Notamacropus eugenii: one gene and its partners. The protein of the gene in region 2 interacts with the protein of the main gene of each other region in a pairwise test. Links are inferred from orthologs where the notes say so. Each region holds a gene or a part of one and is shown on either strand. Other genes may lie near its edges.

Region 1 (3,744 bases), on a different chromosome or scaffold from region 2:
TTCCTAATCTGTAGAATGGGGATATTTGACTAGACTATCTTTAAGAGCCCTTCTGGATCTTACATTCTAGGTTCTATCACTGTGTGAGTCCTGGCTACAGTAAGTGCTTCCTTCCCTTCCCTCTCTTCCCCACCCTTGGCTAGAGATGCAGGATGGTAAATACGATGCTAAAGCAGAGGCTAGGTAGAAGATTCCATTTCCTTCTCTCCCCTTCATTCCTTCACCTTTATGGAGGGTTACCAAAAAATACTCAAGTATTTTCCAGCTAATTACTGCTGCTGGGCTTCCCTGCTTATCCCTTCAGTTATCTGAGTAACTTCCAGACAGTTACTACAGAATATAGGGCATCTTCTAGCATGTCAGGGTACTTTCCCCGTGTTTACAATGCCACACAATTCTAAAGGACATTCTCAGAAAACCCTCCCATATGCTAGGGAATTTCCTCCCCAACTACAAAATAAAACACTAAAAAATAGTCACTACAAAATATTCAAGTACATTCCAGTTAATCATGGCCGGATATTTTTCAACAATATATCTCATGTACTATGTGATGGACGAGTATACCGCCCACCCCTAGCAGCTGCCCCCAAAATGGAGTTTTTTCCAGTCCATTACTACTGCGTGTATTTGCTGCTTTTGCAGACACCTCAAGTACTCCTCCTTCCTTCCCTTCTCCATAGATTTCCTTCGGGGACTCAGTCTAGGCCTTACTTTCTGTCAGCTGCCTGGTTCCCTCTCCAGGCTGTGAATCTAGGTCCTGAGTATAAGGAGGTAATTGGGGGGAGGGAGGAAAAGAGAGAGAGAGAGATAAAGAGATAGAGAGAGAGAGAGAGATAGAGATAGATAGAGAGAGAGAGAGAGAGAGAGAGAGAGAGAGAGAGAGAGAGAGAGAGAGAGAGAGAGAGAGAGAGAGAGAGAGAAAGGAACCCCAAGGAGAGGGCTGGGAACATCCTTCTCCCATTGTAAGCACTTTTACTTCACTGCTGTCAAGAGAAGTCAGGGGATCACTAGTCATTCCCAAGGAAGGGGTGGGGACAAGGGCCCTCAGATTCTAAAATAGGTGGGGTGGAGAAGTGACCCTTTCCCTTCTATCCCCCAAGCACTGAGACGTATGAACTGTCTCCTACCAAAACAACAAGCTTTCCCCAGTTTTTTCTGGGTAGTGTCACTAGGGAAGAATAGGGCCATATACAAGCTGGCATTAGCTGGAGCTGCCCAGAGCATAAGAGCAGAGGAGCTGGGGAGGGGCTCAGGGAATCACTGGGGGACTGGGCTAGAAGGATACTGAAGGGGAAGATATGGAGAAAAGGGCATGGGACTGAGAGGGGCACTGAGAGAGGAGATCAGAGGGCTGGAGGGGGCACCAGGATAGAGGAGAAGTGGGTTGGGGGAACATCTGGAGAGAAAGGCAGGGGGCTAAAGGGAAGTAGGACAAGACAAATACTAGATGAGAAAGAGGCTAAAGGAAAGGAGAGGATCTGGGGGAGAGGGATGGTGACTGAGAGGACCCCAAGGAAAAGGGGCAGGGGCTGGGGTATCAGCTCTTAGAGCATCCTCTACTCCCTACTGAGTCCTGTCTGTGCCCAGCTTGGGAATCCCTAGAGTGAGGGGGTGGGGGTAGAATACTGTTTCTAGGCACAAGTTTAATTTAAAAAATTCTACTGTTGGAAAATTTCATTGCTCCCCACTCCAACCCTGGCTCCCAGAAGAAAGTCCCAAGATGTGGGAGAAAAAAGAAGTTACCCCTACAAGGTACCCCACTAGTCTGTGCCCACAGGAGTGCCCACAAGGCTTGAAGGGGCAGCACCCAGATCCCTGGGTTACAGGGAGCAGAAATTTCAGTCTCTCTCCCCATTCAGTACCAGGGACCACCTGCTGGCCACACCACCCTGCCAGGGAAGCTTCAAGTCCATGCCTCCCCCAGCCCCCCTGCTCAGCTTCAGCTCTCCAATGCCCATCCCTAATGCCCAGTGGGCACTCACAGCTCCGTCAGGTTCTCCAAGCTTGTCAGGTTCTCCAAGCTTGTCAGGAAGCCAAAGCTGGTGAGAGCTCCTGGCTTCGTGCAGAGCAGCCCTGAGGGGCCAAAGGGGCAGCAGGCATGGGGGCAGTGGGCAATGCCCGAAGGCACCAGAAGCAGCCAGGCTAGCAGGGCCCAGGGGCAACCCTGCCTGCCAAGCTGCCCGCTCCTCCCGGCTCTGAGCATCTCCCCCTCACTGCCTCGGCCAGCCTGACTGCACTCACCCAGCTGCTCCCAGCCCAACCTCCCCCCACCCACCCCCAACATGTGGACGGGGCTGCTTTAAAGGGACAGCCGTCTTAAAGGGGAGGAGCTGGCTCTGTCCCTCTCCCCCAATATCCCTCAGCCTCTGTTCCTCTCCATGAGTACTCCTCAGCCCTCTCCCCTCTCTTTATGCCCACCCCCCACTCCTGTCCGTTCTCTTGTGCCCCCTGCCCCCTTCACCAGTGTCTCTCAGGCTCCTACATCTCTCCTTCAATGCCCCCAGCCCCCTCCTCTTTCCCATCACCCCTCCCAGTCCATGCCCTTGTCCCCCTATAACCACTCAGCCCCCCACCTTTCCCATATTATGCTTTGGCCCCCTTCTCTCCCCTAACCCTTCTCCCTTGGTCTTGCCTCCTCCCTCAGTACCCCTTTTTTCCTCCCCACCCCTCAGTGACCCCAGACCCCACCCCTCTCCCTCAATATCCACCCTCCCCCCCACAGTATACCAATCCACTTCTGTTCTCTCCCCCAGTTTCCCTTTACCCCTTCCCCTCCTCTACATGCCCTCTTCCTCTAGGTTCCCCCCCTCCCAGCTCTTGCCTTTTCCCCTTATGTCCTCCCCTCCAGGGGTTATTATTCCTCCAGGGGTGCCTCCACCTACGTATTCCTGGGACATGTAAATAATTTTCTGTGGACTTAGCTCTTTTTGGTTAACAAGGCCAGGCAGGGAAGCTAGCTTGTTGCTTCCCCACCCAAGATGCAACTGCATTATTGCACCTCAACAGGGATTCCTGGGCTGGGAAAAGACAGAAACCCAATGCCTCTGTCATCATCCTAGGCGTCCTCTGTCTCAAATGACCCATGGATTTGGGGGTGAGTAGGGGTCGTGGATTCATCACTTATTGAGCACGGGACAAAATTATCTCGGAGATCTTTCGCAGAAAGGAAAAGAGAGCACTGGAGGTAAGGGGCATTAAGGTGAGAATGTAGGAAAACGAGAGAGGAGATACCAAAGTGGAAGAGGCAGAGGTAGGGAAGAGGTCTCCCCAAAACCATCAGCAAATGTCAGATCTGAGCGGCGCCTACATCTGGGAGGGGCACGCGCCTTGCTCTCCTTAGAGTGGCCACGGGGTGGCGCCAGAGGCGCGTGTGTTTATGCTTTTAGGCTAGGGTAAAGATATGAACTTGATCTGTGATTTTATTTGTATTAAGAACTCCCGGATGAAGAAACTCCCTCTGCAAAGGCACATCAGCAACCCCTTTGCGATGTATATATAGTTTTAGACGAATAACTTGGAAGTCCTCAGAAGTTAACTGACTTGGTCAGGGTCACACAAGCAGCAGTATAGGAAGGAGGTGAGACTTGAATCCAGGTTTTCCCGATTTGGAGGTTGCCTCTCCATATATTTCTATGACGTCAGTCGGTCAAAAGGCATTTATTAAGCTATGCGAGACAGTGTGCTAGATAAAGACTGAGGATGCAAAGAGAAGCAAAAAAACAGTGCCCCATTCTCAAGGAA
Region 2 (3,744 bases):
CCCTGTCGGGCATCTCCAGGGCTGTGGTTGTCCGGACATCTGTGATGGTAGAACACAGGATGTTGATCCGGGGCCGGGATGCCTGTGGTAGAAGAGGCGGTAGGAGTCCCAATATTCAGGCTCAAAAACAGTCCTCTACTTCCTGGGAGGGGGCGGGGGAACCTGGCCTCCCCACTCTTCCCACTTCACCAAAGAGTTGTCAACACAAGCCCAATGGCTCCCTGCTCTACCTTGTAAGTAATGTGGAGGTGGCAGAAAGACTGCTGATATCACCAGCCTAGTCCTGGACACTCAACAAATGTCAAGAGTTAGCAAGATGGGTCCAAGTTTCAAAAAAAAAAAAAAAAAAGGAAAAGCCCATAGGCTTGCAACCTTCTGGGGTTCTATCTGCAAGGCTTCTACATCATCTCTCCCCAGTCACACTTCCCCTTCTCTCTCACCTTAGGTGGGATATAGAACTCCAGCCGACTTCCTCCTCCTTCCCCCTCACTCCGAAGCAGCAGGCGACACTTCTGCCACCTTGGTGGTCCCCCACCCCCAGATGAGGCTCCAGGTCCACCTCCCCCTCGACTTTCTCCACCAACAGCTGCCTCCTCTGTTCCCATGAAGCTCAGTAGTCCCTCCCTTTGCACTGTCCCTGCCCCATCCTTTAAGGGTCCCCCTCCCCTACTTAGTCTCAGCCTCTCAAAGCGGTGTGTCCATCTTTCCCCAGGGGATGTCCCACCACTAGTTGGCCCCACATTGGTGCTACCACCCCCACCAGAGGAGTTGGAATTGCTGTTTCCACCCAGGACAGGTGGCACAGAGGCAGAGGTCTCTAAGGGTCCCATTGGAGAGGGGGGATCACCAGCTCCCCGCCACTGCAAGATCCCTCGGACTGAGCCTCGTACTGATCGGCCCACAGAGCGGAGGGAGAAACGTTTCTTCAGCTTAGGTTTTGAGGAGGATGAAGAGACTGAAGAAGGGAGAGGGCCAGCCAGGTCTTCAGAGGATCGAGAAGGACCCAACACAGTCAGAGGCCCACTGTTCCTGCAGCTCTCCAGAGATGGAGTTTCCGTACCAGGACTCAGGGGGATCGGACCAGATGACAAAAGGGAACCTGAGGCCCGGGCCACCTCTGCCTCAAAGTGCTGCAAGAAGAGCTCAGCAAAACGTCGAGAGAAGGCTGCCTCAGCCCCAGGCTCTGCATATTGGGGATGGGAAGCCAAGTAGAGGCGGAAGCGTCGGGCAAAGTCCAGGGCTGCTGCTCGAGCGTGGGATTCACAGAACTCCCGCCAACTTGGGGGAGGAGGTGGTGGTGGTAGTGGTGGTGGTGGCAAAGGGGGAGGAGAAGGGGAAGCCCCATCCTCAGGGGAAGGGGCACCATTCATGATGAGCCAGATGAAATGGAGAATGGGGGACCCAGGGGAGGGAAGGAAGTGGGGGGGGAGGCCAGAAGACTCAGGGTCATCTGCAGCAACTGTGGAAGGGAAAAAGAGGCACATATATAGTAGTATTAGGATTACAGCTTATAGAGAACCATCTCTAGACCTTTCCCCAGGTACCAGAGATTCCCCAATTGTTCCAACCCCACTGAAAAGCCATCCACTTGTCCACACTACCTTCTGTTCACCTCGTCCCTCTCTGATTCAGAGAGATTCAAGAAAGTCCTTCAAAACATGTTAGCTTCCTTCCCATATTCCAGGTTCTTACACCTCTCAAGCACTGATAGGTTTTTCCAGATAGCTAACCTCCATCTTCCTCCTGTAATCTCAGCCCACATTCTTTGGCTTTGATCCCAGAAGAGTTAAAGGTAAGCTGGTCATCATCCTCCACAAAAAAACCCTTTAGAGATACAAAGCTTCCTTTCCAATCACCTCTCTCTCAGGAATAAATCCATCTAATATCTTGCTCCAAGGAGCCCTAACAGGTCAGCAATAGGTAGATGACTGCCACCTTGCTTCTCTCTCTAAGACTCGTTGGCATTTTAAGCATTGTGGTAGGAGGGCACTGCCTTGAAGGCATCTTTCCCACACACCTTCCCACCTGCCCTTCTATCAAACGCTCAGTAGCTTCTATCATAAAATGTGGAGTACTGCCTTACTCCTTGCCCTCAGTCACAAGAAGAAAAGGAACTATGAGAAGGCAGGGATGAACCGTTTTCTATCTTCTCTAAGAATGGAAGAAAGCAAAAGGAGCTAAAGGTTAGACAAGCTGTGAAAATGGGCACCCGGGCACCCAGGCCCTTGGCCCCCCAGCCCCCAGCCACTGGACTCTGGGAAAAACCAGGCTGGGAACCGGGAGCCCCGAGTCCCGCGTCTGTCCAGGCCGGACTGACAGCATCTCTGGGTGCCCAGGCTAGGAAGGGTTTTAAGACAAATGTCTGCCGGACCCACAGCGGCTCTCCCGCAGCGCGTTATTACTGCACACGCACACGCACGGTCCTCCGCCTGACTTTCACGCCAGCCTGCCAGGGAGGCACGCCTGCCGCCCCTAAGCCCAGCTTGTGGGTGACAACGGGGGCCTGACACCCCCAACGAGGGGGCTGCAGGCTCTGGCCAGGGTCCGCTAGGACGGGAAGCTCTGGGCGAGCCCAGGCTCAGCATCACCGCGATCCCACAGGGAGGCAGCAGGGCCCGGGGGGCCGGCCCCCCGCGGACCAGGCGGGGCGAGAGCGGCCTCCTCCCTCTCCTTCTGGGGGCCTTTTACAGCCACCCCCAGGAAGCGGCCTGGAAGGAGGGAGGCCTCCCGCCCCCACACTCAGCCCGCGCACGGCGCACCAACGCGGGGGGCCCTCACCCCAGGCGGGTCCCCCCAGACGCCGCAGCTCCTCGAGCCCGACCCCTGGCCCTGCGGCGGCGAGGCCCCAGCGCGCCTCCGGGGTGGGGGGCTCCGGGGAGCGCCCGGCCTTCCCTCCGCCCATGGCGGCCCGCTCCGGCGGCCTCCCGGGGGGCGCTGCCCTCGGGGCGCTGCCCCGGCCCCCGGCCTCCGAGCCCGGCCCCGCTCCGGGACCTTCGGCCTTCCCTCCAGTCCCTGGCCCGGGGAAGGGGGGAGGGTCCGAGTGGGGAGAGGAGAATGAGGAGGGGGGTTCCGGTTCCGGTCCCACCTGCATCTCGGTCCCCGCGGTTTGCTCCGGCGGCAGCAGCAGCGGCGGCTCCCGCTCCCCCCCCACCCCCAACCACCAGTGACCAGCGACCAGCCAGCTACTGCGCAGGCGCCGGGACCCCCTTTCCCATCAAGGAAAAAAAAAGACCATAGATAAGCCCGCGGAGAGAGAAAGGCACGTTCCCCGCCGACTTCCTCCTCCTGAGGCACGGGGATCATAGAGACCGTTCTCCCAGGGTGTAGGAATAGGGGCTCTTCATGCGGAGGAGGAGGAGGCGCTGGGAACACTCGGGCGTCTCCACCACTCGCCCCTCAGGGTGGAACATCCCCTGAGGCGTCCCGCCGAGATGGCTTAGTCTAGACTAGGACCTCCCCTGCCATCTTCCGTAAGGAGGACGGAGGTTGGCCGGCCGACCGACCATAGAGACGGGGCCTCGCGATAGAGTATCCCAAACAGAGGCAGGGGAGCGTGAAACCAGAGAGAGGACGGCGCCTCCTCCAGCCGGCTAGAGGTCACAGAGAGGTCAGGTGGCCTCCTAGAGCGCCGGATTCTCTCGTTCTAGGAAGAAGAGGACAGCGCCCCCTGGAGGAGGGATGTGGGAAGGCTGAGGTGACCTTGAGAAAGAATTCCCACCTCCCAGCTGGGGAGTCTAGAACCTG
Region 3 (3,744 bases), on a different chromosome or scaffold from region 2:
TTTCACAGCCATTATATGACAAATATATTTTCCTGTCCTTGGATAATGCTGTTGGTATACATTACTTCTTAAGCTGAGGACAATGAACTCATGTTCTCCCTTCCTAACAGAACTCCCTTCCTGGAGAGCTGCTAAAACAAGCGACAGAATCAATGAGTTATTTTGCCTCACATGTATTAAGTACCTTTGTTTTCAGAGCCTGGTGTTACGCACTGAAGGAGATACAAACTGGGTAAGATACCATGTGCTTCCTCATGAAGCTTATGGTTTAGATAGCTATAACAAATATTACATATGGATTACAAAGGTTTGAGACAAATATTTATGTGAGGAGAAGATATTACCAACTAGGTAATGGGGAAATGAAGGAAGACTTCCTGGAGGAGATGTCTTTATGAGTTGGACTTTGAAGGATAGGTAGGAATTCAGCAGCAGAAGGGCAAGAAGGACGAAGGGGTCATTCCCTCTGAACTCTTATAGGTCTTGTTCTGAGATTCAGTCATAGAACACAGAACATAGAATGTGAGAATTGGATGTGATCTGAGAACACAGATTGTCAAACCTGTGAGGGACCTTAGATCATAGAATGTCAAGAAGTGTGTATGTGTGTGTGTGTTGGAATACAGAATGTCACAGTTGGGAGGGACCTTAGAACATAGAATGTCAAGAACTGGGAGGATTGTTGGAACGCATAACTGGAAAGGATCTTAAAATATCGGCTGAGCTAGAAGAAAACTTAGAACATAGACTAAAGAAATGTCCTTGGGAAACCCAGAATGTCCGAGAGGGAATGAACCTTAGAACATAGAATGTCGAGCTGGAAGGAACTCTAGAACACAGAACATCAAAGCTGGCAGGGTCCTTAGAACACAGATCTTGAGGGGCCCTTAGGTTATCGGATGTCATGAACCTTTTTCCTTTCACCCCACCTTCTCCGCACCACCTCCGGGGGCTTCCTTCTCTCCCCCTCCTCTCCTGCTCCCCCCCTCTCCTCCTCTCTCTTCTCCTCTCCCCCACCCCCGCCTTTGGCTCCGCCCCACCCCGCCCCTTTCATCTCCCTCTTCCCCTCCCGCCCCCGCGCCTCTGGGGCCCCCAGCGCCCTCCCTTCCAGCCTTCTCCTGTTCCGCGCCGTCTTTTCCAGCGTCCCGGCCAGGGCCAGCCCAGCCCAGCTGACGGGGCCGCTGTGTTTACTGGCCAGACTCGAGCGGGGAGCGAGGAGCAAGGAGCGGGGAACGCTGGTGCCTGCGGGGAAGGGGCCGCCGACGAGAAGGAGGGGACAGGGCCAGAGCAGGGGCCTGGGGGGGCCCAGCACGCGGCCGAGGCCCGCTCTCCAGGGGGCAGTGCCCAATCCGCAGGCGCGCCGTCCAGCCCCGGGCAGCGGGGGGGTTACGGGCCTGGGCCGGGGCCGCGATCTCCGGGGAGGGGGCGGGCACGCGGGCGGGGCGCGGGGCTGCTGCTGGACGCGGCCCAGCCAGCGCGGAGGAGGGGGAGGAGGCGGAGGGGAGGAGTGAGGTGGCCCCGGCCCACGCCCCTCCCGGGCCCCTCTCGTGCCCCCGGGCGGGCAGCCCCCCACCCACATTTCCTGCGCGGGGCGTTTAAAGGACCGTGGGTACGGCCCGCCTGGGCCCGCGCTGCCCTTCCCTGCCGTGCTCTGCCCCGCTCTGCCCTGCCCGCCCGGGCCGGGATGGAGCCCGCCGCCCCCTGCTCCCGCCTGCCCCGGGCTCTCTGACCCACCGCTCGCCCCCCGATCTGCCGCCGCCCCCCGACTGTCAGTCGGTCTGTGTCCCCAGGGCCATGGGGGCCGTGCGGCCGCTGACTGTCGGGCTGCTCCCGCTGCTGCTGCAGCTGCTGCTGATCACTTCGTGTGGCTTGATCTCCGGAGAAGGTGAGTATCTTCTACTACTAGGGTCTCTATCCCTGAGCCCTGGGTCCGAGGGGCCCCTCAGAGCAGCCCTACACGCTGGGGCTGCCACGGCCCGGTCGAAGGGAGCTGACCTTGGCCCCTGACCTCCCAGAGTTCAGTCACAGGTCTCTCCGGGGGGCCCCAGTATGAGGATCTGTCCCAGCCCTAGGATTCAGGCAGGTCCAACGTCTCCCAGGTTCTGTAGCTCAGCTTGGGCCACCTTGGCTTCCTTCCTTTCTGTCCTCTGTGAGCCCCCACTGGGGGTCCCCTCAACTCTGACCCCCTGATTCTCCCTATCCCCGACCCTTCCTGGGTGTTCTGGAGCAAGATCTAATCATGGCCTCCTTCCACATCTCGGTACCGTCACCTCCGACATCACCACCGCTTTGACCTGGTAGAGATGGTGGGGTACTAATCAGTGATCGCTGAAGAATACTTTCCCCCCTTCTCAATCTCAGGAATGTCTGCCCCAGGAGTAGGTCCTGAGGCTCTTCAGGAAGGTCTGGCATTACATTTAAAAGCCAGGATTTTGCCTTTCTCCTCTGGGAATCTCTGAGCCAATGGTCCTGAGAAAAGCAGCCTGATGAGCCCTTCCCACCTCCCCACCCCCCAGCCCCATCCCTGTGTGTTCTTTTCAGGGTTTTGTCTGTGGTTGTTCCCAACTCCAAACTGCTGTGGGAGGGGCGGAGGCCCAGCCTGGGTCAGTTATAGGGGAGGAGATGGTTTGGAATGAAGTGAGGGGGTTGGCCAGGAGGATCTCTTAAGGTCCCAGTCTGGCTCTGATATTGTAGGAGCCACATGGAACCACAGACTTGCAGAACCAAAGGACTTTAGAGATCCTTTTATTGTTCAGAAAGAGAAACTGAGACTCAGAGAGCCAGAGACCTGCCAAGGGTGACACACAGAGCTCCTTCAGAGAGTAGCTGTCTGACTTGCACTCCAGCCTTCCTTCACTGTCTGCTGAGACCTGCTAATTCTTAACCCTAACAAAGGAACTTTAGCTTTGTTCCTTCTCTTGTTTAAAGTTTCTTGCCCTGGCTGATGATCAGGGTCTTCCCTTGTAACATTCCATCCCCTGGTTTTCTGATAGATGTAGAACAGTGCCTCAGGAAAGGGCTTCCAGCAGATGTCTGGGCAGGAACTCAGGAGAGATGGAAAGGCTTGGTTAGGACAGTACTTTGGCTCTTGGGCCTGTTTGCTCTATCTTGGGGTGGGCGGTGGGGCATCTGACTCTCAGGGCCTTTACAGGTGCTTTCACATCCTTAGTTCCTGGCTTGGAGAGTTTGGGGCTTCTCAATGAAGTTGTTAACCCAGGGGAGCAGCAAGCAGCAAGAAAGACAGTGAATGAGGAGCAACTGCTCCCCAAGATTCACAGGGGCCCTCTGAGGAATTTCTAAGGCCCTCCTGACTGAGCTGGGATTTATTACCCTTTCATTATTTTTATTATTATTGAGAATCATCAGAGCTCAGATTATCTGAATGTGGACGGGGAGAGATCTGTTGTCTCTTTTTCAGGCACCATTGATAGCACATTCTTATCCTTAAATCTGGCAGAAATAATGTAAGGGGGAAGAGGACCTTCTGGGTTTCAGAACAATGAGGGATGTCATTTTTCTTCACCATTCCACCTTGCACATGTTCTGGGGCTTGGAAATTGTCAAGGATCAAGACACCATCCTTTGTTTCACAGAGCTTCGAGTCAGAAGCCTTAGGTTCAGATTTCATCTCTGATGCTTACTACTTGCAAGTCTCAACCTCCATGGGCCTCATTTTCCCCATCTGTAAAATGAAGGGGTTGGATTAAATGGCCTCTGGGATCTCTTTCAGCTCTAGAGCTAAGA

What was found.
Region 1: the proteins of SH2B1 (region 2) and NTRK1 interact in a two-hybrid assay, tested with the Homo sapiens proteins (2 studies listed by BioGRID). The link is inferred for Notamacropus eugenii from reciprocal best matches to the Homo sapiens genes SH2B1 and NTRK1.
Region 3: the proteins of SH2B1 (region 2) and INSR interact in binary tests that used the Homo sapiens proteins (3 or more experiments, as listed by UniProt). The link is inferred for Notamacropus eugenii from reciprocal best matches to the Homo sapiens genes SH2B1 and INSR.

What each region holds. Positions count from the first base shown.
Region 1 is NC_092873.1:381,127,242-381,130,985, reverse strand, and holds the start of NTRK1 (high affinity nerve growth factor receptor), read right to left. Parts: upstream 2,230-3,744; 5' UTR 2,207-2,229; coding exon 1,986-2,206; intron 1-1,985. UniProt on the Homo sapiens protein: Receptor tyrosine kinase involved in the development and the maturation of the central and peripheral nervous systems through regulation of proliferation, differentiation and survival of sympathetic and nervous neurons.
Region 2 is NC_092872.1:46,581,899-46,585,642, forward strand, and holds the start of SH2B1 (SH2B adapter protein 1), read right to left. Parts: upstream 2,787-3,744; 5' UTR 1,485-2,786; coding exon 441-1,484; exon of another isoform or gene 231-440; intron 83-230; coding exon 1-82. UniProt on the Homo sapiens protein: Adapter protein for several members of the tyrosine kinase receptor family.
Region 3 is NC_092875.1:51,122,258-51,126,001, reverse strand, and holds the start of INSR (insulin receptor), read left to right. Parts: upstream 1-1,501; 5' UTR 1,502-1,794; coding exon 1,795-1,885; intron 1,886-3,744. UniProt on the Homo sapiens protein: Receptor tyrosine kinase which mediates the pleiotropic actions of insulin.